Linked DNA regions of Notamacropus eugenii. The protein of the gene in region 1 interacts with the protein of each later gene in a pairwise test. Links are inferred from orthologs where the notes say so. Each region holds a gene or a part of one and is shown on either strand. Other genes may lie near its edges.

The links.
Region 2: the proteins of NCK2 (region 1) and EFS interact in a two-hybrid assay, tested with the Homo sapiens proteins (2 studies listed by BioGRID and IntAct). The two-hybrid records come from large-scale screens. The link is inferred for Notamacropus eugenii from reciprocal best matches to the Homo sapiens genes NCK2 and EFS.
Region 3: the proteins of NCK2 (region 1) and LRRIQ3 interact in binary tests that used the Homo sapiens proteins (3 or more experiments, as listed by UniProt). The two-hybrid records come from large-scale screens. The link is inferred for Notamacropus eugenii from reciprocal best matches to the Homo sapiens genes NCK2 and LRRIQ3.
Region 4: the proteins of NCK2 (region 1) and PIK3AP1 interact in binary tests that used the Homo sapiens proteins (3 or more experiments, as listed by UniProt). The two-hybrid records come from large-scale screens. The link is inferred for Notamacropus eugenii from reciprocal best matches to the Homo sapiens genes NCK2 and PIK3AP1.

The regions. Positions count from the first base shown.
Region 1 is NC_092877.1:200,903,475-200,910,516, forward strand, and holds the start of NCK2 (cytoplasmic protein NCK2), read left to right. Parts: upstream 1-4,023; 5' UTR 4,024-4,114; intron 4,115-4,721; exon of another isoform or gene 4,722-4,858; intron 4,859-7,042. UniProt on the Homo sapiens protein: Adapter protein which associates with tyrosine-phosphorylated growth factor receptors or their cellular substrates. Maintains low levels of EIF2S1 phosphorylation by promoting its dephosphorylation by PP1.
Region 2 is NC_092878.1:9,806,551-9,813,440, forward strand, and holds the start of EFS (embryonal Fyn-associated substrate), read left to right. Parts: upstream 1-3,884; 5' UTR 3,885-4,006; intron 4,007-4,102; exon of another isoform or gene 4,103-4,302; 5' UTR 4,303-5,699; coding exon 5,700-5,711; intron 5,712-6,890. UniProt on the Homo sapiens protein: Docking protein which plays a central coordinating role for tyrosine-kinase-based signaling related to cell adhesion. May serve as an activator of SRC and a downstream effector. Interacts with the SH3 domain of FYN and with CRK, SRC, and YES.
Region 3 is NC_092873.1:535,564,764-535,571,726, forward strand, and holds the start of LRRIQ3 (leucine-rich repeat and IQ domain-containing protein 3), read right to left. Parts: upstream 3,007-6,963; 5' UTR 3,005-3,006; coding exon 2,882-3,004; intron 1,382-2,881; exon of another isoform or gene 1,080-1,381; intron 662-1,079; exon of another isoform or gene 496-661; intron 473-495; exon of another isoform or gene 462-472; coding exon of another isoform or gene 357-461; intron 1-356. Other genes in the region: FPGT (fucose-1-phosphate guanylyltransferase), read left to right, coding at 3,441-3,522, 6,143-6,310.
Region 4 is NC_092872.1:213,496,604-213,503,995, forward strand, and holds the start of PIK3AP1 (phosphoinositide 3-kinase adapter protein 1), read right to left. Parts: upstream 3,024-7,392; 5' UTR 2,624-3,023; coding exon 2,611-2,623; intron 1-2,610. UniProt on the Homo sapiens protein: Signaling adapter that contributes to B-cell development by linking B-cell receptor (BCR) signaling to the phosphoinositide 3-kinase (PI3K)-Akt signaling pathway.

The DNA.
Region 1 (7,042 bases):
TTGTCTCTTGGAAAGGAGATAATTCAACCAATAAAGTCTTACTAAAGACCCAAACATCATAAACCTATAGTAATTAAATGCCATTGAACTCATATGGAACAGTATTGTGAGTTTTATTTGGCTATATGTGTTTAAATTTTTTGTAACTGTATTTTTTCTTCAATCTTCACATATCATTAAAACCAATTAATCAATCAACAAGTGTTTATTATGTGCCATGGATACAAGTACAAAGAATGAAACAATCCCTACTCCAAGTAGTTTACATTCTTTGACTTATATAAAGGGCCCCCAAGGGCCAGTTAGGAAACACATTGGATAGGGCACCAGTCCTGGAGTTAGAAGGACCTGAATTCAAATCAGACCTGTACTAGCTATGTGAGCCTGGGCATGTGACTTAACCTCAAATGCCTCCAAAAAAAAAAAAGGGTCCAAGACCAACATTTAATAGAGAACCAAGTCAGAGTCAGGAAGATAAGTTCAAGACCTACCTCTAACATACTGGTTATGTGACCCTGAGTAAGTCACAGAAACTGTGTAGATCCCCAAGCTGCTTTAGCATCTGCAGTGGAAGTGGGTGAGTTTCTGCAAAAATGATATGACAATTCTAGCTTAAAAAAAAAAACCCCTCCAATCCTGCCACCTTTTTGTCCTTTAATAGTGGGAGGAAGGTGTTTAATGATTGAAGATTTCTTTTTAGCCTTTTCCTCTAAGTTTACACAGATAAATAAAAACTTAAGCTCTGTGACCCCATCCGTTTTTAGGGGCCAGTTAGCGAAGCTAGAATGAAAGCTTAGGTGCCTCTTGACGTTATTTTAAAACAGCAAGGATTTAATGAGAATCTATCAGGAGTTCAGCATTGCTCAGACTGTGATGGGCCCTGCCCTCAAGAAATTTATAATATAGTCAGAGGACTATTAGCATAGATGTAGGAAATAAAGAAGCAAAGTGGCAGCATGCATCAAGTAAATGCTGTAATACAGATTTGAAAATAAATTACTGGATATCTGAGTAGTTGAAGAAGGGTCATGTATGGAGAAAAAAAGAATTTGAGATGGTCCTTGAAGGGCAGGAAGATTTCCAGATTGGGGAATAACATATACAAAGGCATGGGAAGTGGAAGTAAACATGGCTTGGATGGGGGTGGTGAGGCAATTGTGACGAAATTGGCAACGTTTTAATGTTAGGGAGAAAAGAAACTGGATAGGTAGGTCTTAAAATCAATCAATAAGATTTTAATAAGCAACCTGGTATTAGGCTGTGAGCTACTTAAAAGCAAGGGCTGCTTTTTTTTTTAATCCCTTTCTTTGTATCCCAGCTGGGATATAGTAGGTACTTCATGATTTTCATTGACATAATTTGCTATATATCAGGCACAAAGGATACAAATCCAAAAGTAAGCCAGTCCCTGCCCTTGAAGGAAATTTAGACATGACATAAGAGGAAATGGAAAGTTGCTATGGGTTTTTAAACAGGGATGTGATATAAACAAAAGTTGTATTTTAGGATAATAAGTCACGATACCATGACTATGTTTGATGGATTTCAAAAAGGCAAGAATATTGAGGCAAAAAGACAATGACGAGACTGGGTAAAGATGAGACAGTAGAATGGAAAGAAAAAAGCAAAATTGAAGGATATTTTAAAGAAAGAACTGATGAACTTATAATTAATATTTCAGAAGTGGAAATGGATTTCTGAGGTTAATTCTAATCCCACAATTTACTTATATATTTGATTGGACGGTGGAACTGGAAAAGGGCTTACAGATGATATTGTCCAATTTCCTCATTTTGCAGATATGGAAATTTGGATATGAAAGACAAAGAAAGAGTCTAAGATAAAACTAAAGTTTCTTTGTGGAGGGATTGGGTATGGGTATCTCTGACAATAGAGAAATTGGGAAGAACTGGTTTTAGGCAAAAGATGATTTCCAATGTATTGCATAAGAGATGATATTACATGTAATTGGAGATGTCCTTTATGAAGCTAGAACTAGTATGACAGGCAAGCCCTACTTTGGGGTAGGAGGGAGGAGGAGGGAATGAGTTTATAGGGAGAAAAGTAAAGAGACAAAGAAAAGGGGGTTGCAGGAAAAAAACCACAGTTTGGAGCTAAGAGGATTAAGTACCATTAAGGGAGAGGAGTTCATAGTCAATAAACTTTTATGAAACATCTACTATATGCCAGGTACCCTGCTAAGTGCTGGGGATACAAACAGTATAAAGACAGTCCCTACCCTCCAGGAGTTTACAATGTAATGGGAGGAAACAACACACAAAAGAAAGTTGAAAAGGGAGTGGAGGGAGACTTATGAAGGAAGGAAAAGGGGTATGGTGGAGGTCAAAGAAGGCCAAGATGAGTGATTAAGATGGGAAATGAGATATCTGAAGAGATGTCAGTCCTGTTCCACTCCTTAAATGGAGAGATTTATAGCTTCATCTTCCAATCAGAGGGGCAGAGGATATGGATGAGGTGTGGTTTACCACCAACAAGGCTGGTTGTTAAAAATAAAGGAGGTGAAGAAAAACTGCTCTGAAGTAGAAGATCCAGGGTAGTGAGGTATTACACAAACCACAATAATTTAGAGGAATAGAGGCTTTGAGAAAGTGTCACAATTCAGAGTTAGCAGGATAAGACAGAAAAGAGGACTGGACTTTGGGGAATTTAGAAAACAGTTTTCAGTAGAGTGGCAGGAGCTGGATGTAAGTTGTAGGGGATTACAGCAAGAATGAGAACACAATGAAGACCCATCTCCCTCCGTCCCCAATTTGAAGAGAAAAAAGATAAAGGCAGTGAGATCAAAGGTTTGCAAAACAAACTTGAAACTGTACCTAACAGATCAAATTTTTTTGAAACATTGTTACACCTTTGACTTGCACCACAGCTAGGCAAACATGAATCAGAAGCAGAGCTACAGATAAAAGGTAGATTTTAACACTAAAACAGAGATCACAAATGGAGATGCTGAGACGGCAAGAATAGGACCGATATTAGACAACTGTAGTTACTCAGTTAAATGACACAGACAATAGGCAAAAGACCTCTGACTCTTCCGAGCTGGGTTTTACCAAGTTACCTATAGTAGTGGAGGTTATCGTTGCTTTTACAAGGATCTAGGAGAGTGCTTTCCTTTGAACTGAGTACAGGGGCTTAGTATTTAGAATATTAGCTATATGCCTGGTGGAAGCCCTTTGGGGGAGAGAAGACACCTGGATGTCCATGTGAAAAGTGAAACTTGTGTTGCTGTAAGCTTGTTAAATAGTAAAGGGAATTCTTTACAGGCAAACCATAACTTATTATAGGGGGAGAAGACCAATCGCATCACAGATGACAATTTCATGTGGGACCTGACATTTAAATAATTTGCTATCTGCCTCACAGCAATAGACTGTACTATCAGAACCTGACTGAATTAAACAGATGATGCACAGTCAACAAAGGCCGGGTTTTTGCCTCTTCCATTTCTGAATTGTTTCCAGGAGGGATACCTGAAATTAAAACGTATTTTGTGGTCAAAGTAAATACATGCAAATATCCCCAGAATGCAACTTTAGGGAGGAAAAGGGAGACTTTTCACCGTCATCCATCGCAGGCCTTCTTTCCTGCGAGTTTCTCTGGGGCTTTGTTGGGTGGGTGGATGGGTAATCACTCAATAGCTTTAGTATCTGGATAAGAAATCAAAGAAATAACAAAGGCCCCCCACGAGGGCCCTTTGTCAAAGGCAGAAATAACTGCCTTCCTTTCATTAGCTCCCTGCCCCAACGACACGCACGTGCACTTTAAGGTCGCAAGGGAGCCCGGCTCTCCCTCCACCCCGTCTACCCACCACCGCGGATGGGCGGTATTTGCCCATCGCTAAGCGGCGTGCCACCTTCCCGAGCTCACCGAGGAGTCCTTGAACCATTTCTATCCCTCCTGCTGTAGAGCCCGCCGGTCTTTTTGTACCCGGCTCTCGTTGGGAGAGGTAGAAGGCGAGAGAGTGAGAGCAGCCTTTCGGAGCACCCCGGCCTCGGCCCCCACTGGGGCTCCGGCAGACTTCTCTCTGCCTGGAGGAGCGCATCCCCGCTTGGAAGGCTGCCGGTGCCCCCCTGGCCCAGGCACCCAGAACTCCGTAAGTGCAAAGGGGCGAGGCCGTGCCCGGGGTCGCGCCCCCCTTCCCAACCATCCCCGCCAGCCCCTCCCCGGCCGGCTGCCCCGGGGTCAGCGGCGTGCCAGCAGAGCCCTGCCCGGGCGGGCGGCTGCAAGTGCCATTAAGCCTGGAAGGGCAGCGAGGTGGGGGAGTAGAGGGTAGGAGTGGGGGGGGGGGGGGAAGAAGGCCTCCAGCCGAGCCCACCGCGTCACAGCCCGGGCCGGGGGAGGAGCAGCCGAGGAGGCGGCGGCGGCCAGGAGAGGAGGAGGAGGAGAAGGGGAGGGGAAAAGGAGGAGGAAGAGGAGCCGGAGGAGGAGGAGGAGGAGGAGGGAGTTGTGTGCATGGGGGGAGGGGTTGCCGCCGCCGCCGCCAGCTCGGGCTTGGTCCGGCCGGGAGCCGCGGACCGGAGCGGGAGGACGCCTGAGAGGCCAGCGATCCGGGGCCTGGGAGCCGCGCTGCCGGCCGCCGGGGAGGAGGAGGAGCAGTAGCCGGAGGAGTAGAAGGAGAGCGGCGGCCGCGCCGGCCCCGGGAGAGTCCGCCTCCGCCGGCGGGGGGCGGGGAGCGGCAGCGGCGGCGGCGGAGGGGAAGGAGACAAAGAGCGGAGCCTCCTGCGGCGGGGAGCCCGGCCTCCTCCGCCTCCGCCTCCGCCCGGCCTCCCCGGCTCCGGGACTTTGGGGCGCCGCAGCCGAGCTCTCTGCCTCCCCCTCAGCCGCCCCCGCTCCGGAGGTAAGAGCCGGGCCGGGATGGGGAGGGGCTCCGCGCGCGCGTGCGGGGCTGGGGACGGGGACAGCCCGCGGGCTCGGGGTGCCGGCACCGCCGGAAACTTGGGCTGATGGAGCGGAGTTGATGTGGGGCGCCCCCTTCCCGCGAGGAGAGGCGGACGGGCTGGGCGCTGGCGCGGAGCGGGGTTCTCTTGGTGCCCAGGGGGGCCCGGGGAGCCCCCGCACCCCAACCTTGGCGGAGGCATCTGCACTTTTCAACGCCCCTTCATCCCCACCCGGCGGTCGCTTTTCCTGCCTCCTTTCTTTTGCCTCCTGGGTGGGTGTCGCTGTTTGGAGGTGGAGTGCGTGGGGCGCCCGGGGAGGAGGAGAGGTGGGGGCGGGGGCACGGACCGGTGGGCTGCTTCTGCTTGGGGTAGGAGCGCGGAGGTGGGGCGGAACGCGGGGGGTGGCACGCACGGGCGTTGGGCTCCGCTTTGTCGGGCGGTAAGCAGAAGGACCGAGGTGGTGGTGGAGGTCTTGTCGGGGAGGGAAGGGAGGCCGATGGGGCTCCGGTCTGCGGGAGTCCGGGCTGGGGGTGGTGGCAGGAAGCGCCGAGCTCCGGAGCCCCCGGGGAGGATGCCGGAGCCGCCCCCCCCCCCGAGCCGGGGAGCTCCTTAGGGGGAGAGAACGAGACCCTTCGATCCGGGGGGATGGAGAGGAAGCCGCGTCCCTCCCCTCTCGTGCCCCTGTGTTGGCAGTGCCCACCGCCTTACTGCCAGCCCTCCTGGAGGGGGTGTTTGCCAGAGGCTCGGGAACGTGGTCCTGGGCCACATTATCCAGACGACTTAGTCCTACTTGTTACTTGGACTCAAGTTTCTCCATAGTTTTACGCTCTCTGCTATTACTGGAGGCAGTTGCCGTGTAAAATTCCCTTATTGTTTAGGGTCTGAACTCCCAACTTGCCCAGAAACACAACTTACTTTGTGTCGTGTGGAGGGATTTCACTTGCGAAGCACTTTAATGGGCAAACTGTAAAAATGCTGGAGGAACTGACGTCTTTCTGCTGTGGATACTGAGCACCTGACATAAAGGAGCCAGGCATGTTAACAACTTCATCCAGCTTGTGATGGACACGACATATCTCCATGTCGCTGGCTTTGTGGTTAATTCATCGCGTTTTCTAACAATCCTTGAGAATATAGCTGACTTACAGATACTGACCAGGAGGCAATGCATGGGGCATTTTGGGGGTCAGGAAGGATAGGACCTGTGGTTTGATTGAATAAACTGGTTTTTTTTTTCCACATTGAGAGGAGCGTCTCCACATGCTCATTAATTTCTTAGTCTATTTCCAAACAGACCAGTATCTTTAACTTGCTCCGGAGGATGGAGGAATGTAAACCTGGCAAGAAACAAGAAGAATTAGAGGCTGTGTGATACAAAAAGCCCCCTAATGTTACAGAAGGGATATGCTTAGTAGAATTCTAGCCTGTATTCTTGAACCAAACATTAAAGATGATTGAGTATGCTATTAATGCAGGTTAGCACCTTTTTCTTTAACTAAAATTGTTTCTTCCCTAAATTTCCGGAGATTAAGTGACAGGTCAGAGGCAGGACTTAAGCTCTGAATTTAGGATTTCTGGGGTCTGTGGCTACTATTCACTATACCATGGTGGAACTGGGCATATGCAAACTGGGCATAGTTTCTTGAGATACAGTATGTTGGCAAAGAGAAGCCCATTCATTTGTACCCATTTACTAGCTATGTGACCTTGGACAAGTCATTTTAAACTTTTAGTGCTTCTGGGCAGCTCTCTAAGATTAAGTTGAAGAAAAAGGTGCTGGCCTGCATTAATAGGAGTTTATTCAGTCAAATCACAGTTCCTGACTCCAAAACCATTGCCCCATTCATTGTTAGGCAGTTTTAGTTATAGAGAAGTAGTAGAGGAGGTTTTCTCTTGGACTTCCCTACACCAGAGTTGTCCAGCCTAGCTGAATTTGGCCAGATAAAAATGTAATTGGGAAATATTTAACAAAATAAAAATACAGTGAAACATAGTGTTACATTTTAAAGTTAGCTTAATATGTGGCCCCCAGCGATCCTTCTGTATGTATTAGTGGTCCTGGGCTTCTATTTGAATTTGACTTTAATGAAATCACAGGTGGTTCAATCCCTACCCTTCCTAAAACCCAGTTTGCACTAGTCTGA
Region 2 (6,890 bases), on another chromosome or scaffold:
TAAATAAAATACATAAGCTTAGGAAGAAAACCAACTACAATGAAATATGTAAAAAAAATTTACATTCACATTGTCCAGGTTAACAACATACTTTTTAGCTAAGCTATCCACCTTTTCTCAGGCAAGAACTTCTCTGAAGACGAGGGTTGGTAAGTAAGCCAGTGGCATGGCGACAGATGTCTACCATGTCCTCATGCATTGCCCATACAGGTCACTGAGTTGCCATCTATCCAGTCTCAACTACCCAGCCAACCAGCTACAAGAACAAATCACCCCATTCTGACACTGATGTTGCTTCTCAGACCAGAAATTGCCCTAAATAAGTTCATAAATGCAACTCTGATCTGCTTAGGTTCAACTTGAGGCCTAAGGCAGGAGAGAAAGTAAAACTCTCACCCATATCTCATGCCCGCCAAGTACATACACAATCAGGTGGAGTTAATAATTCACTTTCCGTGCCTGGGAACATGGTGATCTTTCTACCAAAGACATTCATTGTCTTTCTAGTACATTGTAATGATCCCACGAATCTTGCAAAAGTGGTGGGAAAGTTGTGGTCCCCCTAAAACCTGAACTACGGACCCTTTGGATTAAGTTTTGCCTCTCTAAGGAGCACTTCTTAGAAAAGTAATATCTTTTCCACTCTTGCCTTGACAGGGGTCCTACCCAAGTTTTCATCTCCCCTTTACCTCAACTACTTTATGATCATGATCATAACAGGAACCAGGCTAAGTCACATTCCTACCAGAAAAGGGACCCTACATGACTTCCCAGGGTGTGGAGACTCCCCATGAAACTCACAAAGTTTCATACTCATTTATTCAATAAGCATTCATTAAGTGCCTGCTATGTCCTTGGCACTGTACTGAGGAATTCAGACACAAAAAGAGGCCAAAGACAGCCCCTGCCCTCAAGGAGTTCATAGTTTAGCGGAGGAAACAAAATGCTGTCAAATATATACAAAGTGAGCTCTGTACGGTATAAGTAGGAAAAGAGGGAAAACGTTAGAATTAAGAGGGGTTGGAGAAGGTTTCCAGTAGAAGGTGTGGTTTTGGTTGGCTGGTCGTTGTCCGTTCTCAAAGAGGACCAAAATGACATCACTATGTTAGAGTCACGGTACAATGCATCCAACTATGACTGATCAGACCAAGACAAGCTCAGAATGCCCTACCACAGGTCGGGCACAAATAGTCCATGTGAACATTTGGGGTGGATTCTCTAAATTTGTGAATCTTGTGTTTCTTCTGAGCTACTTCCATTCTGCTCTGCTTACAGAGCACAGCACCTTCTCTGATGTGGGCACACCATGCTGGGCAATCTGATGCCAGCGTCTCCCAAGTCACACAATCAGTTCCAAAGTTCTTAGGAGAGATGTTGAGAGTGTACTTGTATTACTTCTTTTGACCGCCATGTGAGTGCTCGCCCTATTCTCCACAGAATAGTCTTTCAGGCAAGTGTACGTTTGGCATTTGAACAACGCGGCCAATCCATTTGAGTTGTGCTCTCTGCAGTAGAGTAGGCGTGTAGGTGATATTTAAGTTGGTATTTAAAGGAAGCCAGGGAGGTCAGTAGTCAGAGGAGAGGAGGAGAACCTTCCAAGCATAGGGTACAGTCAAAGAGAATGCCAAGAGACAGCATCTTGCTCATGGAATAGCCAGAAGGCCCCAAGATCCAAGCAATGTGTCTAACGTACTCATGATTTCAAAGACCAAGGGGAGTTATCCTATCATAGAGGAATAAATTCAGACCAGGGTGAGCTGGAAATCTATCCTAAGTAACTTGCCACTGTAAGTATAGGGGGAAAGTTAGTAGATAACACTATCTGTTCACGTCTATCTTAGGGATAGTCTGGGAAAATCCCATCCAAACCTAACTCCAGGTCCACCCTGTCCTCAGTGTAGCATTTAAGGACATCCCCTAAGTTAAATTGCCAAAAAAGAAGAAGAAGAAGAAAAAGAAGAAGAAGAAGAAGAAGAAGAAGAAGAAGAAGAAGCCTTTAGTTTCTCTGGCCCAGAATGTACATAACTTACTTACATCATGATGCTACTGAGTTCACTAATTTCTAAGACTCAGGACCTACAAAGTGACATAGCACCTTCCACCTCCAGAAGGAGGAAGGACTAGACAAAGCCTAGACTCCACCCCTCAGGTCGTCATGGGGTGAATCCCACATGGGCCAGTTAGCTTTATCCTATTTCTCAGCCACAGTCTTAAAACTCTAACCTAGTTAAGTGCTAGATCAGTGCGAACTCTTCACTACTCCTGGGAAAGGAAAACTCATGCGTATACTCTACTCATGAAGAGCCAGGGGGCTCTTTTTCATATAAGAAAGATGACAGGTTTTCTAAAGCAAAATGCCTTCCACACTCAGAGAAAGAACTATGGAATTCATTCGCAGAATTAGCAGATCGTGTGTGTGTGTGTGTGTGTGTGTGTGTGTGTGTGTGTGGTGTGTGTGTGTGTATTATGTTTTAATTTGTTATATGATTTCTTCCATTTATTTTAGTTCGTCTACATAGCGCGACTATAGTGAAAACATATTCAATAGGAAAGTATATGTAGATCCTATATAGAATTGTATGCCATCTTGGGGAGGGAGGGGGGCGGTGGGGGGTAGGTGTGGGGGGGTAAAAATCTAAGTTTTATGGTAGTGATTGTAGAACATAAATAAATAAATAATAAAAAAGAAAGATGACAGTCCTTTTTCTTCTTTTTTAAAGCAGGGAAAAAAAGAACTTTAGAGGGGAAGAGAGAAGGTGGAAAGTGAATGGATGATTAAAATAACGGCAGAAAAGAGGACCTCTGTAGATGGACTTGTGGTGGTCCCATTTACCCCTATATGAAATTTTCATGGAAAAAGGATGGTTTTCCATTCTCAGAACCTCACCCAGACTCAAAAATAGCTCCCTGCTCTTCCTAAAGACCATATGAGCCCTCTGTACCTGACAGTCGCCATTTCTGCTCTGCAGAGGTGTTGAACAAGGCAGGGCTAGAATATGGGACAAGCCCAGACTGGCTGAGGAATTTAAGAGTTTGAGAACTGGCCTGCTTCCAGTCCTGGAACCATACAGCTGGATCTGTACAAATTCACTACAGCTTTGAATACCCTTTGGTTGAGGATCTGTATAAATTTAATCTTAAGGAAATCCAATGATTCCATAGGCCCATCACCCACACCTGATACACAGCAACTTCCTTCCCTTTAAACAGGGTTTCTTAACCCGGGGTCTATACATTTGATTTTTTTTAATATTTTGATAACTGTATTTCAATAGAATTGGTTTCCTTTGTTCTCCTATGTGGGTTTTTGTGTATTTAAAAACATTATTCTGAGAAGGGGTCCAGAGGCTTCACCAGACTATCAAAGGGGTCCGTGACACAGAAAAGATTAAGACTTCCTGCTTTAGAATATGGGTTTGGGCACACGTACCAAATTCCACTTTATAATCCTTACCACCACAGCATCTGGGAGTGGGTATCGATATCTTGAGGGATGCCATTGGCAGAGAAGGAAGCTAGGTCTGTGGGACAGCTAGAAAGAGGAGAGGAAAGCAGATATCAGACTGATAAAAGAGAAAGCAAAGAGAAAAGATGAACCAACAAAAAACTGAAAAAAAGGGTTGGAAAAAAGAAAGGAGAAAAGAAGGCGCCAAGGGAGGAGAGAAGTGGGACAGGGAAGAAAAATCTCAGTAAGTCACTGTATCTGATTCTATGTGATGCCGTGAGGAGGAAAGAAGGGAGAGAGCCAGCAAAGGAAGAGAAAACATTGGCGGCAGCAGGAGCGGTTTGGCCAGAGGGGCACTGGAGCTGTAACTCAACACCCTTCTTTAGAGAAATCTGTCCTCCTTTCTCCTCCTCCTCCTCCTCCTTCTTCCCCTTCCTCCCTCCCTCTCTGCCTCCCTCCCTTTTTTCCTCTCTCTTCTCTTAATCCACAGGACTGAGTCTCAGAACAGAGAAAGGGAGAGCTAACGAACCAGAGAAAAGGAGAACTCCAGAAGGAAAGACAGTGAGTGTGACGAAAGAAAGCAAGTGAAGCGGAAAGAAAGGAGGGAAGGAGAGAAGAGAAGAGGGGGGTGGAGCGTGGCCTTCGAGGAGGACTGGGCTGTCCCCCACTAAGGTCTCCTCCCCCCCACTCCCTACCCCGCCTCCTTGCCACAGGGACTGTGTGTGTGTGTGCGTGTGTGTGTGTGTGTGTGTGTGTGTGTGTGTGTGTGTGTGTGTCTTTCCTGGAGGATCCCACACGGACATACCTCCGCCCAGGCATCAGGACACCTCTCTGATATTTGTGTCCTTCCTTCGCAGGTTGCTTTTCTTTTCTTTAGCTGAGACACTTTGGAGTTTGGGATGGATTGTCCTCAGAGCACTGGCCCCCAAGAAAACCAGACACCGGAGCCCTAGCACTGAGAGGAGGGGAAATCACTTCTGAGAGTGGGTGGCAGATCATCGGGGGGGTGGCAGGAGAAAGGGAGTGGAGTGGAGGCGGGAGAGGGGACACATGCATCAGTGAATGCAAGGTGCAGGGGTGTTTGGTCGCCAGCTGGTCGTGAGGATGGTGTATGAGGCTGGAAAGAAGTTTGTGAAGTCAGACCGCTGTGATCATGTCTATTTGACCCAGTTAGTGAGTTGGTAAGTGTACCCAGGTCCCTGTAAGTTTGTGTACGTGTATGTGAAAGGGCAGGTGTGAAGCCAGCCTGCGTCTTTTAAGTTCATGTCATTTAATGTGGAACTCGGTGGGCTGTCCTGAGTGGGTCTGAACCAGAATGTTAGCAGGTCTGTGTTCCTGGGTCAGTGGCTGTCTATGTGCTCAAGCAGCTCTTTGGAATTTATGATCATACAAATCTTCCAGTACCCCCCACCCCACCTCAAACCCCATTTCCGTGAGGTCCCTGGCTGTGGTTCTAGAAGGATTTCGCAATCTCCTGAGAATCTGAAGCACCAGTCTTGGCTCTCACCCTCTGGATCACTGTCTCTCTCTCTCTCTCTCTCTCTCTCTCTCTCTCTCTCTCTCTCTCTCTCTCTCTCTCTCTCTCTCTCTCTCTCTCTCTCTCTCTCTCTCCTTCCCAGCTTTTCCATTCCCTCTATCCCTCTCCTAAGGCTGCTGTAAAGCACATCCCTGAGAAACTTTCCTACAAGTTCCTCTACCCTCAGGTGCCAAGAGCAGGCCTGGTTCATACTTAGCTTCCTACCCAGCCAAACAACTCAAGGATCCTCCCCACCCTGAGCCCTGCCCCTGGAGAGGCCTCGGAGACAGAAGCTGCGCCCAACCCTAGCCTCTCATCCTAGTGGCCCCTGAGTCGTCCCCAGATCTCTGGCATGTGGTATGTGCACCAGGAGTCAAGCCACTCAGCCTCATGAACCAGGTCCTTAGAGACCCTTTCCCTTGACCCTCCATCTCCAAGGCAACTTTGTGGGGGGAAAGCAGCTGTTGGAGCCCCTTGGATGAAGACTTGGAAGAAGCTTCAGCCTCTCCGCTTGTCCCAAAGGGCAGTCTCTCAGTTTAGGGGCTCGCCCGGTTTGCTCTCTCCTCAAACCTCAGCTCCGGCTGCTGCTCGGCCTCCCCAGACTGGGGGCCGCCTCTCCCCATGTGAAGGGGCTGGCACTGGGCCCCAGACCATGATGTTGGGAGCCTCTTGCTGAAATCTGCCCAGAACCCAAAGCCAGTCCAGAGCAAGAGGAGGATAGGACAGGCAACGGAGACCATGGCTGTGTCGGTGAGTCCCCACTCGGGGTAAGGAGAGAGGGGTTGGAAGGTTTGGGGAGAAAAGCCTCTTCTAGCTTGGTTTTGTCTTCCTGCTTTTTGCCCTTTGTGTTCCTCATCATCCCCCCATCCCCACCCCTCCCCTCCTTTTCATCTTTTCTGCGCCTCCCTGGCTGTTTTTCTTTAAGTCTCTTCCTCACTTTTGCCTCTCTCTCTTTCACACCTCCTTTTCTTTTCTTTTTGATCTCTCCCTCCTCCCCTCCCCACACTTATGTTTCCCTACTTTTCTACCCTGGACCGGCTCCTGTGATGTGTGGGGACAGGGCAAAAGATAAAGGCAAAAATCCTATGGGCTTTTTTTAGGAACAGGACAGATGGTCAGTGGCAGCTCCCAAGGAAGGGAGCACTGGGAAGCTAGAGAAAAGGAGGGGGGAGGGGGCAACCTTAAGAGAGAGAGTAAAGAACTGAGGGAGTGAAGGGGGACCTGAAGCACCCCCCACTGAAAGGGAAGAAAGTGAAAGGAGCAAATGGGCCGGAGGGGAGATAAGGAGCCCGAGAGAGAAAGGAAAACAGGGGTGAGGGAGAGGGATGATGTCAGTAGAGCCTCAGGCCACTTTCCAGGGACTGGAGGTTGGGGACAAAGGGAGGAGACAGCTGGCAGAACGGGATTTCGGGAGGGGGACTCTCAGGGAGCACATGGCTGTTTGCCACCCCCCATTAAACAAGCCTCACAGGCGGGGATGTGGGGGGAGGGAGCCATTCCCCCCAAGTCAGCTGGGGGAACCCAATGGGGGCAGGGAGAGCAAGGGAAACCCCACCCCTTCATCAACCAATCAATCAGCAATTATATATTGTTCCCAGCTCTGGGCTTCATCCCCACTGGTCAGATTCCAAAGGGTGAGAGACTCTTTTGCCCTGCCCTGTCTCTATCCAAATATGAGAGTCCCTCCTTTTCTCTCAGGAGACCCCTCTATTCAAAAATCAACTCTGCAGCTTTTCCAACACTCTTCTACCAGAACCTTCCCCACCAGCCCAAAGATATTTTTGAGTAAAAGTAAACACAGTGCCCAGGGAGAACACAAACTTGGTTTCAGACTTGGGCTCATTTCTCTGCCTTGAGAAACTAGGGAAAGCTGGAGAGTCTCAGGATCTCTGTTCTGGGCAAGGGTCCTGCCAAAAGCATCCGGGAATC
Region 3 (6,963 bases), on another chromosome or scaffold:
GATTGTTAATGTCAGAGAGAGTGAGAGTGAGAGTGAGAGACAGAGAGACAGACAGAGAGAGAGAGAGAGAGAGGACAATCTCTTCTTGTCAACCTGGTCTTAGGCTTCTCACAAACAGCTCAATTTGGGGACTTGCATTCTCATTTTACTTTGAGAAATTGCATATGGATGTGTACATGATCAAGTTCAGAAGAAACCAAGGTGCTCAACGGCAGATTTGGGTTGAAGGACAGTAACCTTTTACAGAGAGCGAGAGGGCTCCAATGCCAGCTTCAAGAGTGCAGCAACAAAGAACTGCGTCCGGTTATCAGTAAACCTTCCATTCATTCCTACCCATCCTTTTTACTACATCTTACATTTTTAATCACTGTGAAAACCATGGCTTTGTGGAACGCAGCGCCTGCTGGTTCGAAGAACACCAGTCTGGCTCCTGGGTTTTCTGTTTTAAGGGGCACACACATGACTGAGGAATCTATGACACGGAGACAAGGAGAATTAGGGAAGAGGACAAAGCCTTTGCTGTGCATATTTAATTCAATTTGCTTCCTAGTCAGAGAAGAGGAAACATCTGTTGAAGAAACGGCTCGGATGGCAACAGGAGCAAGACATGGCAGGCATTCCCCTGGGCTCTTCAACAGCAGGAAGGCTAACAAACTATCATCTGAAAATATAAATGTATTGAGAAAAATATTATACTTTCAAAGTTGATGTGCAACTAATTCAATTTACAAGTTAGACTTGGAGACTATGACATCTAGAATTCCAAATATCACAGGAGTTCCTGAGACTAGGCAAGAATCTCCATCTCCCCTCCTCCCCACCCCCACCCCCACAGGCCAATAGTGACAGCATGAAAATGGGAAATCTCAGGGACATTTTACGATAAAAGAGAGTGCGGCATGTAGAAACGTATTTTACACAGACGCGAGATACTTCCTATTTAGCACCATTGGCCATGCAAATGAAAAACATTTCTGAAATGCTTCCTTAAGCAGGCAGCATGGCTCCCGAGGTGAGGGAAGGTAACCACCGCTACGTATCTAACGAATCTCCTGCCCCATCAGCAATTACGACCTTACCGAGAAATAAGAAACGTGCCCAGGCGACCGCAGAACAAAATAAATTCTCAGAAGTCAGATACACTCACAGGGCGCAAACAAACCAAAGCATCCCTGACAAGCCACTGGAAGGCCTGCAGTACAGGGGGGCTCAGTAAATGCTGACCGACTGACTGACAGGCTGGGGCTGGGCCTCTGATTTCACCGGCACAGGGAGAAGCTCTGCGCACCTGCCTGGTCCGGAGATACCGAGAGGCGCTGACCGTCCGCGCAGGAGGCGCTGACCCTGTGCACAGCGGGCGCTGACCGTCTGCACAGCGGGCGCTGACCGTCCGCGGAGCAGGCGCTGACCCTGTGCACAGCAGGCGCTGACCATGCGCACAGCAGGCGGTGACCGTCCGCACAGCAGGCGGTGACCGTCCGCACAGCAGGCGGTGACCCTGCGCGCAGCAGGCGCTGACCCTGCGCGCAGCAGGCGCTGACCGTCCGCGCAGCGGGCGCTGACCCTGCGCGCAGCGGGCGCTGACCGTCCGCGCAGCGGGCGCTGACCGTCGGCACAGCGGGCGCTGACCCTGCGCGCAGCGGGCGCTGACCGTCGGCACAGCGGGCGCTGACCCTGCGCACAGCAGGCGCTGACCCTGTGCACAGCGGGCGCTGACCGTCCGCGCAGCAGGCGCTGGCCCCAAGGCCTCCGCGTCCGAGCCTGGGCCTCCTCCCGGCCGGTGCTCGCTGCTTCGCTGCGGTCCCAGAGCCGGGTACGGAAGGCGCCCAACGGGACAGAACAGCGTTGCCTCATGCCGGGACCGGTGACAGGTCGCTGCAAGGCGAGGGTCATTCTCTGGGTTTCTTCAGTCGGACAAGCGGACACGGGAAATGACAAAGCTTTAAGGTTAATATGAGTGACTCCTGAGTGGCTTGGAACATTGGCTCTTCCTGACTCGCCCTGACCGCTCTTGGCCAAACGACCTTCGCAGACACTGAATTAGACCCTCTACGTGGGTAACGTCCTGAAGGCCAGGCCCGTGAACACGGACTCCCCTCTAAGTCTGCCCTTACACGGCTCACACTCATCTCCGAGACGTCGCTGGGCCGCTCCCTAACTCGGCGAAGCTCTGCTGGAATGTCAGAGGCTTGTGCGGGGGCGCCACGCTTCTCAGGCCCAATCCTCATCTCGAACGCACGGGCCATAAAGCTCACACACCTGTGTCTGCTACGGGCCAGTTCAGCTAACCTCAGAAGGTGGAGGCGGGAGTGAGAAGCGCTCCGCGGGGCCCTCAGGAGGGCCAGGAGCGTCGTGTTGTCGGGCCGCGCGGGCAGGGCTCGGGGACCGAGCAGCTCCCCCTCCCACCCCAGCCTCGGTCGCCCCCCGCAGGCCCGCTCCCCAGCCCCGCACCGTCCCAGCCCTCCGTGGCGCCTCCGCCTCGGCTCTCTCCCCTCCTTTACACACACTCGCTCCCCCGGGGGTCTGCTCCGGCCGAGCTCCCGGAGATTAGAGTCCGTCAGTTGGGTCTCCGGGCCCGCGGCCTGGTCCGGGGGCCGCAGCCGGCCTTTCCTCCCCCTCCCCGGGCCCCCCCACGCCCTGTCCCCCCCCCCCCCCCCCGGACCCACTTCCCAGGCCCGTCTCTAAGGCTCGCTTCCCGTGGGTTTCCAGACCCAAGAACCGAGACTGAAGCCTGGGCCGGGCCTAGGCCAAGGCCCGAGAGCCACGGGCGAGGCCTCGAGCACGAGGACCAGGAGGAGCGGTCCAGGCCCCGCGCCTCTCCGCCCGCGGGGACCCCGCCCGGACACTGGGCGCTCCGCCCCCGGGAGGCCGTGCTACCCACCGAGGCGGGCCCAGCACCCGGGGCTCCCCAGGCCTCGGCGTCCTCCTCTATGCGATGGGCATGAAGGGCGGCTGCCTCCGACGGCTCAGGGGGTGAACGTGCCTTTATGAAGCACCACTGCATGCAGGGCGCGGCGGGTCACGTGGCGCAAGGCGCGCTACAGACGCGTCAGTCCGTGGGAAGACCATGGCTCGAGGGTCACCCCGAAGCCCACTCACCGGGCTGGCAGGGGCAGCGGGGCTGCAGGGTGGCCCACAGTGGAAAGGAGCAGCTGGGGAGTGGGCACCAACTCAGGCCGCGACCAACGGTTACTAAGGGGGGGCGGCGTCCGTGGTTGCTATGGAGACCCCCCCCCCCCCCTCTCCGTCTGCGCATGCGCCTCGGTCTCCCTCCGCCGAGCTTCCGGGTGAGGTTCTGGAGAGGGCGGGGCTTCGCGGGACGGCGAATCCTGCGGCCGGGGGCGGGGCATCGCGCGAGAGGGCGGGGCCGGCAATAAACGTCGCGCAAGCGCCCTGCTCCGGCGGTCCCCCTCATTCCGCGGCCCAGCGGCGTGATCCTCATGGCGGCTGCGCAGGCCGGGCCTGACGTGGCGCTGCGCGAGGCCACCCAGCGCAAGCTGCGGAAGTTCGAGCGGCTCAGAGGTACAGGGGCGAGGGGGGGAGGGGGCGAGGAGGCCGCCGGCGGCAAGCGGTCTGGATTCCGGGCGGGACTTCCGGGTGACGAGGAGGCGGAGCCTGAGCCTGAGGGCTACGGACTTCCGGTATCCGGCGCCTCTCTACGCAGGGGCGGGACCGGGAGGTGACGTCACATGTCCCGCTGGTCAAGGGAGCTCCAAGGCCTGGTTCCCCTGGTGTGGCCCTTATTAAGCGCCTGCTGTGTGCAGGCGCAGTGCCCTGCGTTGGAGGTGCCAAGAGAGGCCCAGGTGGCGCTCCCAGTTTGCCAAGGCTCCTCCTGGTCGGGAGGGGCTGTAGAAATGGAGTTTAGTGGGGCTTGAGCCCCAGGGCCGTGGCCTGCATTCATGGGGCGCCTGCTGTGTACCTGCTGCAAGGCCTTGGCCGTGCAAAGGGAGGCCCATGCGCCGCACCGCAGCATCAAGGCCTAGGGCCTGCCCCCCGCAGTCAGACTCGGGGTCCCTGGGGAGAGAGATGACCTGGGAGGGGTGATCAGTCAGTCCACAGGCACTAGCATTTATGGAGCGCCTACTGTGTGCTAGGCACTGTATAGATAGGGTCTCAGCAGACCTTCCCAAGAAGCCCGGACACAGGGCTGTAAGATCCTCGTTTTACCAGTGGGGAAACTGAGGCAGGCCGTGGTCGGGTCGTCTGCCAGCCAAGTGTCAGAGGTCAAATTTGGACCAAGGTCTCCCCGACCTGGTGGCTGCCCGAGGTGCTGGACGCTGAGCCCTGCCCCCGACGGACAGTCAGGCCTGGGCAGACCCCCCAGGGGGCCGCAGGCCTGGTGCCCACCCTCTGGCACCACACTCAGAGTCCAGCAAAGGACTGGATCATGCTGACCTTTGCCCTGGCCTCCCCTTGGCCCGTGCATCTTCTCCGGTGCCCCTGGTCAGCCCGAGGTCATGCTCTGCAGCCCTGGGCCCCCTGCCCACACCAGTGACAAACGGATGACCCTAGAGTCAGATCAATAACCTGGTGGCGGCAGGGTGGGGGCTCTGCCCCTGCCCTCCCAGACTCCTCTAGACCCAAACTAGGGGCACTTTCCCCCCCTTCACTTACTGGAGTGTGCCCTGGCCACTCCCGTCTCCGTGCCTTTGTAAAGTCTGTCCCCAGTCTCCTCTGCCCCTTGGAGTCCCGGCTTGGAAGCCTTCTGTCTGTTGGTCTGAGCATGTGGAGCGTAAACCATGAGGACAGAGGGACAGTACACGTTTACCCGGGTATCCTCAGCGCCCCCACAGTGCCTGTCTCAGCGGACATAAGGCGTCTGTTGAATAGGGATGGCATAAACTGTTACAGTACTAAGGCTTGGAATAGCCAGTCAGCCTGGTCAGCGCCTAGCCCACTGGCATCCCTGGGATCAGCCCTGGATGAGGATAACAGTCCAGCCGTAAGTTTTTTATTCAGCCTGTCTGCAAAGTCAAGAACTAGGCCCCTCCAGCTGTCTACCAAAAATTCAGGATGTTCCCCAAGGAGTATTTTTTTTCTTGAGCTAAAGTTTTCCCTTATATAGAGTTTATGTATCCCATCCTTAAAACCTTTCTATGTTTGAAAGACTCCATTTTTAGTCAGGAAAAGGGATAGATTGAGGCAGTGGTGGCTTTGGAGGGACAGTCTTTCCTTAGATGGCACCTACCTTAGATGAGGCAGCTAGGTGGTGCAGTGGACAGAGCACCAGTGCAGGAGTCAGGAGGACCTGAGTTCAAATCTCACCTCAGACACTTGACACTCACTATCTGTGTGACCTTGAGCAAGTCACTTAACCCCAATTACCTCATCCTGGGGCATCTCCAGTCATCCTGATGAATATCTGGTCACTGGCCCCAGATGGCTCTGGAGGAGAAGTGAGGCTGATGACCTGCACAGCCCTCCCTCACTCAAAACAAAGTCAAGTGCAAGTCATGTCATCATTTCTCTGATGGCATGGTCTTCTTCAGCAATGAAGGAAAAACACACCTACCTTAGCTAACTACCTCTGAATTTCTGTGATCCATGAAAATTGATTTTATCTGGGCTTCCATCTTCTCCTCTTAATGAAAGATTGATATGAAAGCCTTCGACAAGCCCAAAGTCCGTCTCTTAATCTCCAGAGCTTCCAAATCTAATCTCTTTCATCCTAGGATTTAATTCAGTGAGCAGGGTCTGGGGTCTACAGATACGAGCAAGGAGAGGTCTAGCTTATGGCTGCCAGGCCAGACTGCCACTTACCAGTCATGACTTAGGCTCAGCTTCTCCAGTGGAGAAGATATCCCCAGAAGTCAGCCAGTTGTTCTACTTGGGGAGGTGGTGGGATGTCTGGAAAGATGGGAAGTCAGGAGAAACTTGTGATTGCGCCCACTCGGGATGCCGAGTAGACACTTCTCTGAATAGCTTGTATTCTTCGGATTCAGTTTCTTCATCTTTTTTCACGGGTAGATCATATTTTGAAGCTTGCAGGAAGCGCGATGTTCGTCAAGTCCAACCTCTCTTCGTTCAGGTGCCAGGAGGACGTCACAGGGATGGGAGTCACACCCAGCTCCTCTGACTGGCACCAAAGGGAAGCCTGTTTGTGAACTCCCATGCTCACTGATGTCCTCTCTTTTCCGAACAGGCCAAGCTATGAAAGCGGGAGAATTCTGGGATGTGGTTGTGATAACAGCAGCTGACGAGAAGCAAGAACTGGCTTACAAGCAGCAGCTTTCCAGAAAGCTCCAGCAGAAGGAGCTCCCCCTGGGCGCCCACTACCACGTGTTCGCTGACCCTGCCGGAGCCAAGATCGGTGGGTTTTCCAGGCAGAGGCTGGTGCGGGGTGAGCCGAGCCTTGAGGGGCCTTTTCTTGCAGGAGAGAACGCCCCGGGGTCTCTTCACCCGTGCCCAGCCACAGATGTGGCTCAGGTTTTAGTGGGTGTGTTGGGAGGGAGCTTGGAGTGGCGCAGAGGACTTTGAGGACCACAGGCCTGGGATTGCTCTCCAGCCTTGCCACTGAGTAGAGCTCTCTGGCCTCCAGCGCCGTCTGTAAAAGGGAGATGGTTAATCCCCAAGGCCCCTTCTGAGAACTGGTCCGTGTTGGGACCTGGCTGCTCATTTCGGGGCACTAGAAAAGCCTTTGTTTTTAGTCAGTTCTCTTACAGCAGTGAAAGGCTTGTAGAATGCTGTTTAGAAGAGAGTTATGTTAATTAAGCCACAAAGAATGCTCTGTGGGCTTCTCAGGAGTGTCTCTTTCGCCCTCCCCACCCATGCCCCATATACCTTGGGTTCGTGGGATCACCATGCAATGCATAACCACCACATATTAGAGTAGCACGGATACCCTTGGTGTTTCCAGGCCATGTCACCCTTTCAGGGTTCAGGAAGTGAATGAATCTCACCTGCCCAGGGAACTGTTTCAAATTCAACATTTGGAGTCAAGAACTATGGCTCCAGAAAGGTGGA
Region 4 (7,392 bases), on another chromosome or scaffold:
GGCCTCTGCTGTCATAAGGTGGGGAACGCGGACCCTCTTTACTGGATGATAGCAATCACCCCGATCCTTTAATAATGCCACCATTAAAAGCATTCTACAAAACACCTCCACCTCCACTTTCTCTCCTTATTCTTACGTTTCTCAATTCCATTTTAATCTGGTTAGGACTTGCAGTTTGACAGCTCTGGCTTAGTGAATAGAGAGCTAGTCTAGAAGTCTTAAAGACCTGGATTCAAATCCAGCCTCATGACGCAAAGTAACTGTGAAATCCTTTGCAATATTTCATTTCTCAGGGAAGCTCTCCACGACTAACTTGCAGAAAAGATGCCTAAGTGATCTTCATCGGTAAATAGTTTCTTCACCAGCAGTTTCCTATACCAAATACAGGTCTGGACCAAAGAAAAACAAAGACCATTGCTATGTCTCCTGACTTAGCCTTAGGCAAGGCTAAGAAAAGATCCCAAGGGCAGCACTACCAAAACAAAAAAGAGTCATAGGACATTCTCTCTGATCTTTGCTCACTTCTCTCCCCACATTGCCTCCCATCTTTCCTATTTCTAAAAGAATTTTGCAAAGATCAAAGGAAAATAAAAGATAGGGGTGAAAATAGAAAGGTTATGGAGGAATTTAGCAAGATATTTGTTAGCCAGAGAGATGCCCATGGATATAAATGACCTCTCCTGGGCAGACTTGGGATTGACCGCTCAAGTTCCTTGAAAAGTTCTAGTAATCACTGTAAAAACAGTAATGGTTGATTTGTCAAAATGTAAGTCCCTTTAGAGTAAGAAATGCTTCATTCATTGAATTTGTATCCCCAGGGCCTAGTACAATGTTTAGTACATTCGCTGTAGTTCAGTCCTTCCATTGTGTCCAACTCTTCATGACCCCATGGACCACAGCATGCCACTGTCCCTGGAGTTTTCTTGGTAAAGATACCAAAGTGCTTTGTCTTTTCTTTCTCCAGTGGATTAAAGCAAACAGAGGTTAAGTGACTTCTCCAGGGTCACACAGCTAGTAAGTACCTGAGGTTGGATTTGGAATTCAGATCTTCTTGACTCCAGGCCCAGTGCTCTATCCACTGGGCCACACATAGTAGGTGCCTAACAACTGTTTCATTCATTGATTGATCCTTTGCAAATTTAAATTTACCTGGCTCTTTCTTCACAACAGCCTTTGAGGATAATATTGAAAATATATTTCTGCCCCTTGTACAGATTAGGAAACTCAGTCTCAAAAAAAGTTAAAAACCTTGTTCAAGGATATAGACTAGCAAATAGCCAGACATGGGATGATGGGATCATTGAATGAGAGTTGGAAGGTAACTCTGAGATTTTCTAATACTATTCTCCCATTTTACAGATGAGGAAACTGCCATCCAAAGCATCCAAGGTCACAAAAAATTCCAACCCAGATCATAAAGCTGGAATTCATCAGCAAACATTTATTAAGCACAATCATGTGTCAAGCACTGAGCTAAGGGCTGGGGGTACAAAGAAAGGCAAAAGGCAGTCCCTTCTCTTAAAGAGTTCACAGACTAACGGGACACGATATTAAAACAATGATCTATGAACAAGACATAGTCGGGATACATTGGAAGTAGTCTCCAGAGGAAGGAAGCTAGAATTAAGAGCGATCTGGGAAGACTTCTTGTAGAAGGTGGAATTTTAGATGGCATTTAGGGAAGCCACGAAAGCAAAGAGGCAGAGATGAAGAGGGAGAGAATTGAATTCAGGCACAAAGGACAGCCAGTGCAAATTCAGAGTAGGGAAATGAAGAGTCTTCTTGGAGGAAGAGTATGAATACCTGCGTCACTGGATTGCAGAATGGGGGGACAAGGGGAAGGAGGGGTTGGAATGGAGGGAGAGGTTGGGAACAAGAAGACTGGCAAGGTGGGGAGGACCTTAGCGGCCATCATGCCCAACAGCCCACCCCTCCTGGTTTTTTCAGATGAGGAAACTGAGACACTAAGCGGTTAGGTGACTTCCCTGGGGGGGTCACATAATTATTAAGTGTCTGAGGCGGAATTTGAAACTGATGCTCAGTCGATTAGACTACACTATGCTGCTCCTCAGATCCAACCTTTACACTACATGAACTTCCTCTAAGACCAAGAGAGAATTCTTGCCCAATAACACAGCGCTGTTCTGACTTCTCTTTCCTTCTGCTTACCGTAGCATCAGTTAACACAAGTTGCCAGGACTCGGAGAAAGAATAAAAACTTGAGGATTGGGGGTGGAGGGGTGGAGAGATGTATAAGTAAAGGCGAAACCCCAAAACCTCCGACCAACAAATGGGAGCTTGGGGCCAAGGGATCTGCCAAGTCCGGGAAGCGCTCGCTAAACAAACAGTTCTTATCCCAGCGTGGGGCGGCGCAGGTAGATGCCAGGTCAGTGACGGAATGCAGAAAGCAGCAGGGTTAGCAGAGTGCCCAAGCTGCCCAAGAGGGAGCGCGTGCCAGTTCTGGGGAAGTGTAGGGGACCCTGAAGGCTGTCGGGGGGCTCGAGCCTCAGAGTCCCATGAAGCTCAGCAGAGCAGAGGAGGGCGGTTTGGGTTCGCAGAGGAGAGGACGGCTGTAGTGGGGCTCAGAGGGGATGGAAGCAAGAGACTGACCTGAGGCTGCCATGGCAGAGTCTGGAGGGGAGCCCAGCTCACATCCCGGGCTGTGGGACCTCCTGCAATCCTGCCGGGGGCGGAAAGGAAGTCGGGGAAAGGTAAAGAGGCTCCAGATTCTGTTCCGAGGACTCCAGCTTTGGTTTCGGACTGGGCTGGGCAGTAGCGGCGCTTCCTCGGAGCCGTAGGGGGCGGAGGGACTGACCCGCCCCGCCCCGGTGGGCTGGCCGCCCCGGGGCTGGTGGCTGGGGCCGCTGAGGCAGTGGGGCGGGAGAGAAGCCCAAAGGGGGCAGCCCAGCTGCCTCCCCGCAGGCTGGCAGCACCACCTGGAGTTGGACGCCGTTGAGTAGGGGAAGTGAGAGTTGGGGTCGAAAACCAGGAGCCCCCTTCCTCCTCTCAGACGCCGTCCCCCCCTCCCCTATGACATCTCCCGGCAGGACAGAACGAGACAAGCCCTATTGGGTGTCCCCCAAAATCTCCCCATCCACAGACTTAAAGGATAGCCTGAGGATGTAGTGTGGGAAAGAGAGAGGTCCTAAGATCCCCAATTGTGTCTTGGAAATTGGGGGTAAATGGGGTAAAGTAGATGTGCACATGATGAGCACCAGCTGGCAGATACTCCTCCCTTGGGTCAGTGCCCTGAGTCAGTGCCCTAGGCAGGAAATAGATGAGCTGGGGGTGGGGTGGAAGAGAAGAGGAGAAAGAGTAGTGGTGACTCTTGGGAACTGGTCCCCCAAGGGACAGCTTTACTCTTGAGTTCCCTTCAGTTACCTTTCTGCAGACTCCTCAGGGATTTGACCCCTCACTACGTTTCTCCTTTTCTCCTCCTCCTAAGTCTCTTTTCCCTCCTGCCCAATCACCTTGGGCCGCAGGTACTGCAGGCTGGACATTAGCACCAAGCCCCAATCAGAGGAAATGGTGGATCGTGGAAGGCCGTGGCACCATTAAATGCCATATGAAATTCAAGTTAACATATAGTTATAAAATGCCTATGAGAGGCAACGTTGGTACCAGAAAGATTTGACTTCAAGTTTCTCTTGTCACCCACTAGCTTTCAATGCCCCCTGTAAATGCACGGAAAGTGTCATTTTACATTAGTAGAGAGGTTTCCCTCACTGGGAGTTTCTGAGACCAGTGAAATCTCTGGTGCAGTTCCATCCTAGGTACTGGGGATCCAAACATGGAAAGTGACAAAGTCTCTACTCCATCTAATAGAAGGGAAGCGTAAGTATGGTAGATGCAAGGTAGGTGGAAACTGTTCTCCAAGCATATGAGGAAGAAGAGCTCGCCTTCAACCAGAACAGGAAAGGCTTCATGGACAAGGTGGGGCAGTGACCTGGGCATTGAAGGTGGAGGAGGAGATGAGAGGCATTGCATTTCAGGGAATGGGGGGTGGCCTGTAGGGAGTAAGGAGAGGTGTATGGAGGAGAATAATGTGAAATAAGGCAAGAAGGTAGGTTACAGACAGATAGTGGTGAGCTTGAAATGGCAACAGGAAGTGTTGAAAGCTCTTAAGCAAGGGAATGATGAATGAATGGATGAAAAAATAGTAAATTAAGAGGTCCTAGCTACATGTTAGGTGGAAGAGTCCTGTAACCCTTAAAATATAGCCTCAGAGGTCTTACCTACAAGTTAGATGGAAAAGCCCCATAAACCTTAGACCATAACCCTTAAGGAGATGTTAATGTAATTTCCATTGATGAAACCATATTTCTTTTTAAATGATTTATTTTTTAACATTCTTCTTTAAAATTTTGAGTTCTGGCCCTTCCTCCACCCACTGAAAAGGCAAACAATATGATATCAATTATACATGTGAAGTCATACAAAACATATTTCCATAATAGCCATGAAAGAAAAAAAGAAAGAAAACAGGGAGGGAGGACAGGAAGAAGAAGAAAAAGAAAGAAAGAAAGAAAAAGAAAGAAAGCTTCAATCTGCACTCAGAATTCATCAGCTCTGTCTCTGGAGGTGGATGGCATTTTTCATCAGGGCCCTTTGGAATAATTTTGGATTATGCTATTGAAAAGAGTAATAACCTTTCACAGTTGACCGTCCTTACAATATTGCTGTTGCTGAGTACAATATTCTCCTAGTTCTGCTCACTTCACTTTATATCAGTTCGTATAAGCCTTTCCAGACTTTTTTGAAACCATACTGCTCATCATCACTTATATCACAATAATACTCCATCACAATCACGTACTACAACTTGTTCAGCCACTCCCCAATGGAAGGGTATCCCCTCAATTTCCAGTTTTTTGCCACCATAAAAAAAAGCTGCTGTAAATACTTGTGTACTTATAGTTCCTTTTCCTTTTTCTTTGATTTCTTTGGGATATAGACCTAGTAGTGGTATTGCTGGGTCAAAGGGTATGTACAGTTTTAGAGCTCTTTGGTAATAATTCCAAATTATTCTCTAGATGGCTGGACCAGTTCACAACTCTAGAAACAGTGCATTAGCATCCCATTTTTTCCACATTCCCATATTTGTCATTTGTCACCTTCCTTTTCTGTCATTAGCCAATCTGAACCATATCCATTTCTGAGACTGAACTATTTGGAAGTTCCAAGGACTTTGGTGGTGAGCATTTTCTTCTCCCCATCTTCAAAATTGTGGCTACTAAGGAGGCAGGGACTGCCCAAAATCAACAAGTCAAATCAATGAGCATTTTTTAAACACTCCCTCAGTACCAGAGGCTGTGCTGAACTCTGTACATGCAAAGAAAGGCAAAAAAACAGCTCATGCCCTCAAGGATCTTACAATCTAATCAAAGATCATATGCAGGAAACTATGCAGGAACATGATATGGATATACATATATTCATTACATACATACAATTAGGGGTAGTCTCAGAGGGAAGGCATTAAGGAGGACTGCGAAAGTTTTTTTGCAGAAAGAGGGATTTTAGGGGAGGGGGGGAGTGGGGGGCAGGTGGGGGGGATAAAATCACAATTGTATGGCAGTGATTGTTAAACATTACAAAATAAAAAAAAATAATAATAATAAAAATAAATAAATAAAAGATTTGTAAAAATAAAAAAAAAATAATAATAAAAAAAAAGGCAAGTTGAAATTGTAAAAAAAAAAAAAAAAAGAAAGAGGGATTTTATTTGAAAATTGAAGGAAGCCAGGAGATAGAAATGAGCAGAGAGAGAATTCTTGGCATGGGGGAGAGTCAGTCAAGCACTGTGCTAAATCCTGAGAATCCAAGTACAAGCAGAAAGAAAGCAGCTTCCTTTCCAATTGGACTATGACAACACATAAAAGGGAACTAAAAAAAGATAGGGGCTGGGGCAGGACTAGAGTAGATAAAGTCTTGTACAGAGAAGTCTGGAGTGCAGTCAGGAAAGGAATGAAGGTGTGGCTGGCCTGGACAGTCTCCTTAAAATGGAGGTTCTTGTAGGAACCAGCCAATCAGAGAAAAAGAACAAAGGCCTAGAAAGCACTTCCAGCATGAGAAGTATTCCAGGGAAAGGGTGAGCTTCTAAATCAAAGAGGCTTCCATGGTAGACAAGTCCTGTGTAGATGAGTTAAAAGTGTAGCCCAGAGAGGAATGAGCAAATAAATTATAAATTCTCATTGACTGACTAGCAATGTCATTAGATCATAGAATACAGGAAAGGAGTAAAGTCTAAGAAGATTGGAAGGGGAGGAAGGGGTCAGATTATAAGAGACATTAAAAGGCAAACTGAATTTTATATTTGAACTTGGAGGTGCTGATCAGTCAGTGTGTTTGTCCTTCGTTGCCTGATAATGATGTGACTTGCACTTAACTTTGTTTTGAGTGAGAGAGGGCTGAGCAGGTCACCAGCCTCACTTCTCCAGAGTCATATGAATCCAGCAACCAGATATTCATCAGGATGACTGGAGATGACCCAGGCAACTGGGGTTAAGTGACTTGCCCAAGGCAACTGGGGTTAAGTGACTTGCCCAAGGTCACACAGCTAGTGAGTGTCAAGTGTCTGAGGTGAGGTTTGAACTCAGCTCCTACTGACTCCTGCACTGGTGCTCTATCTCCTGCACCACCTAGCTGCCCCTTGCAGGCAGTCAGTACACATTCTAGGAAAACCACTTTGGTAGCTGAGAGGAGCAGAAGAAATGAGGCACTGAAACCATCCAGAAGGTTGTTCCTTTGGGTAAGGCTAGGCTGGAAATGGAGCTGGTGGTCTGGAAGCCACTGACATTGCCTGGGCTCTTGGGTTTAAAGGCCTGAGTTATCTCCCCCAGGGTCTAAGGGGAGTGGTAGTGGCAATGCTGGTGGTGACTTTGCCCACCTGGCACTTGTTATCTACTATTTTTTCCTCCTGGAGTCTTTGGGTAGTCCAGGTTCCCTAAGGGAACACTCAACCCACAGTGCCATAGGAATACTTGCTTCAAGTCCCTTGCTCCAGCTCTCCCTTTCCAGAAAATATTCTGTCCCTAGAATCTCAATTCTCTGTATTCTCTAGTAACCTTCAAGGCAAGATCACAACCTGTGGCTCTTGAACCAGAGGTCAGCTCTCAAAATAAGAGCCAATCCTATGTAGTGTGATATAAAATGCCTCGCTATGGCTGTCCCCTCTATCCTCCACTCCCCAAATAAGCCACTTCCTCTATCACCTCCTATGACATTGTCCTCTACTTAAGACTGACCTGAAATTCTCACTCTAGAGGGGTTAGATAAAAAAAAGCAGTCATGTCTCCAGAAAAACATTCTCTGAATAGTCATACTTCCCAGGAACCAAACCTTTCCACCTTAACACATACTAATCAACATAGGCTGGATTAATTTGGACAA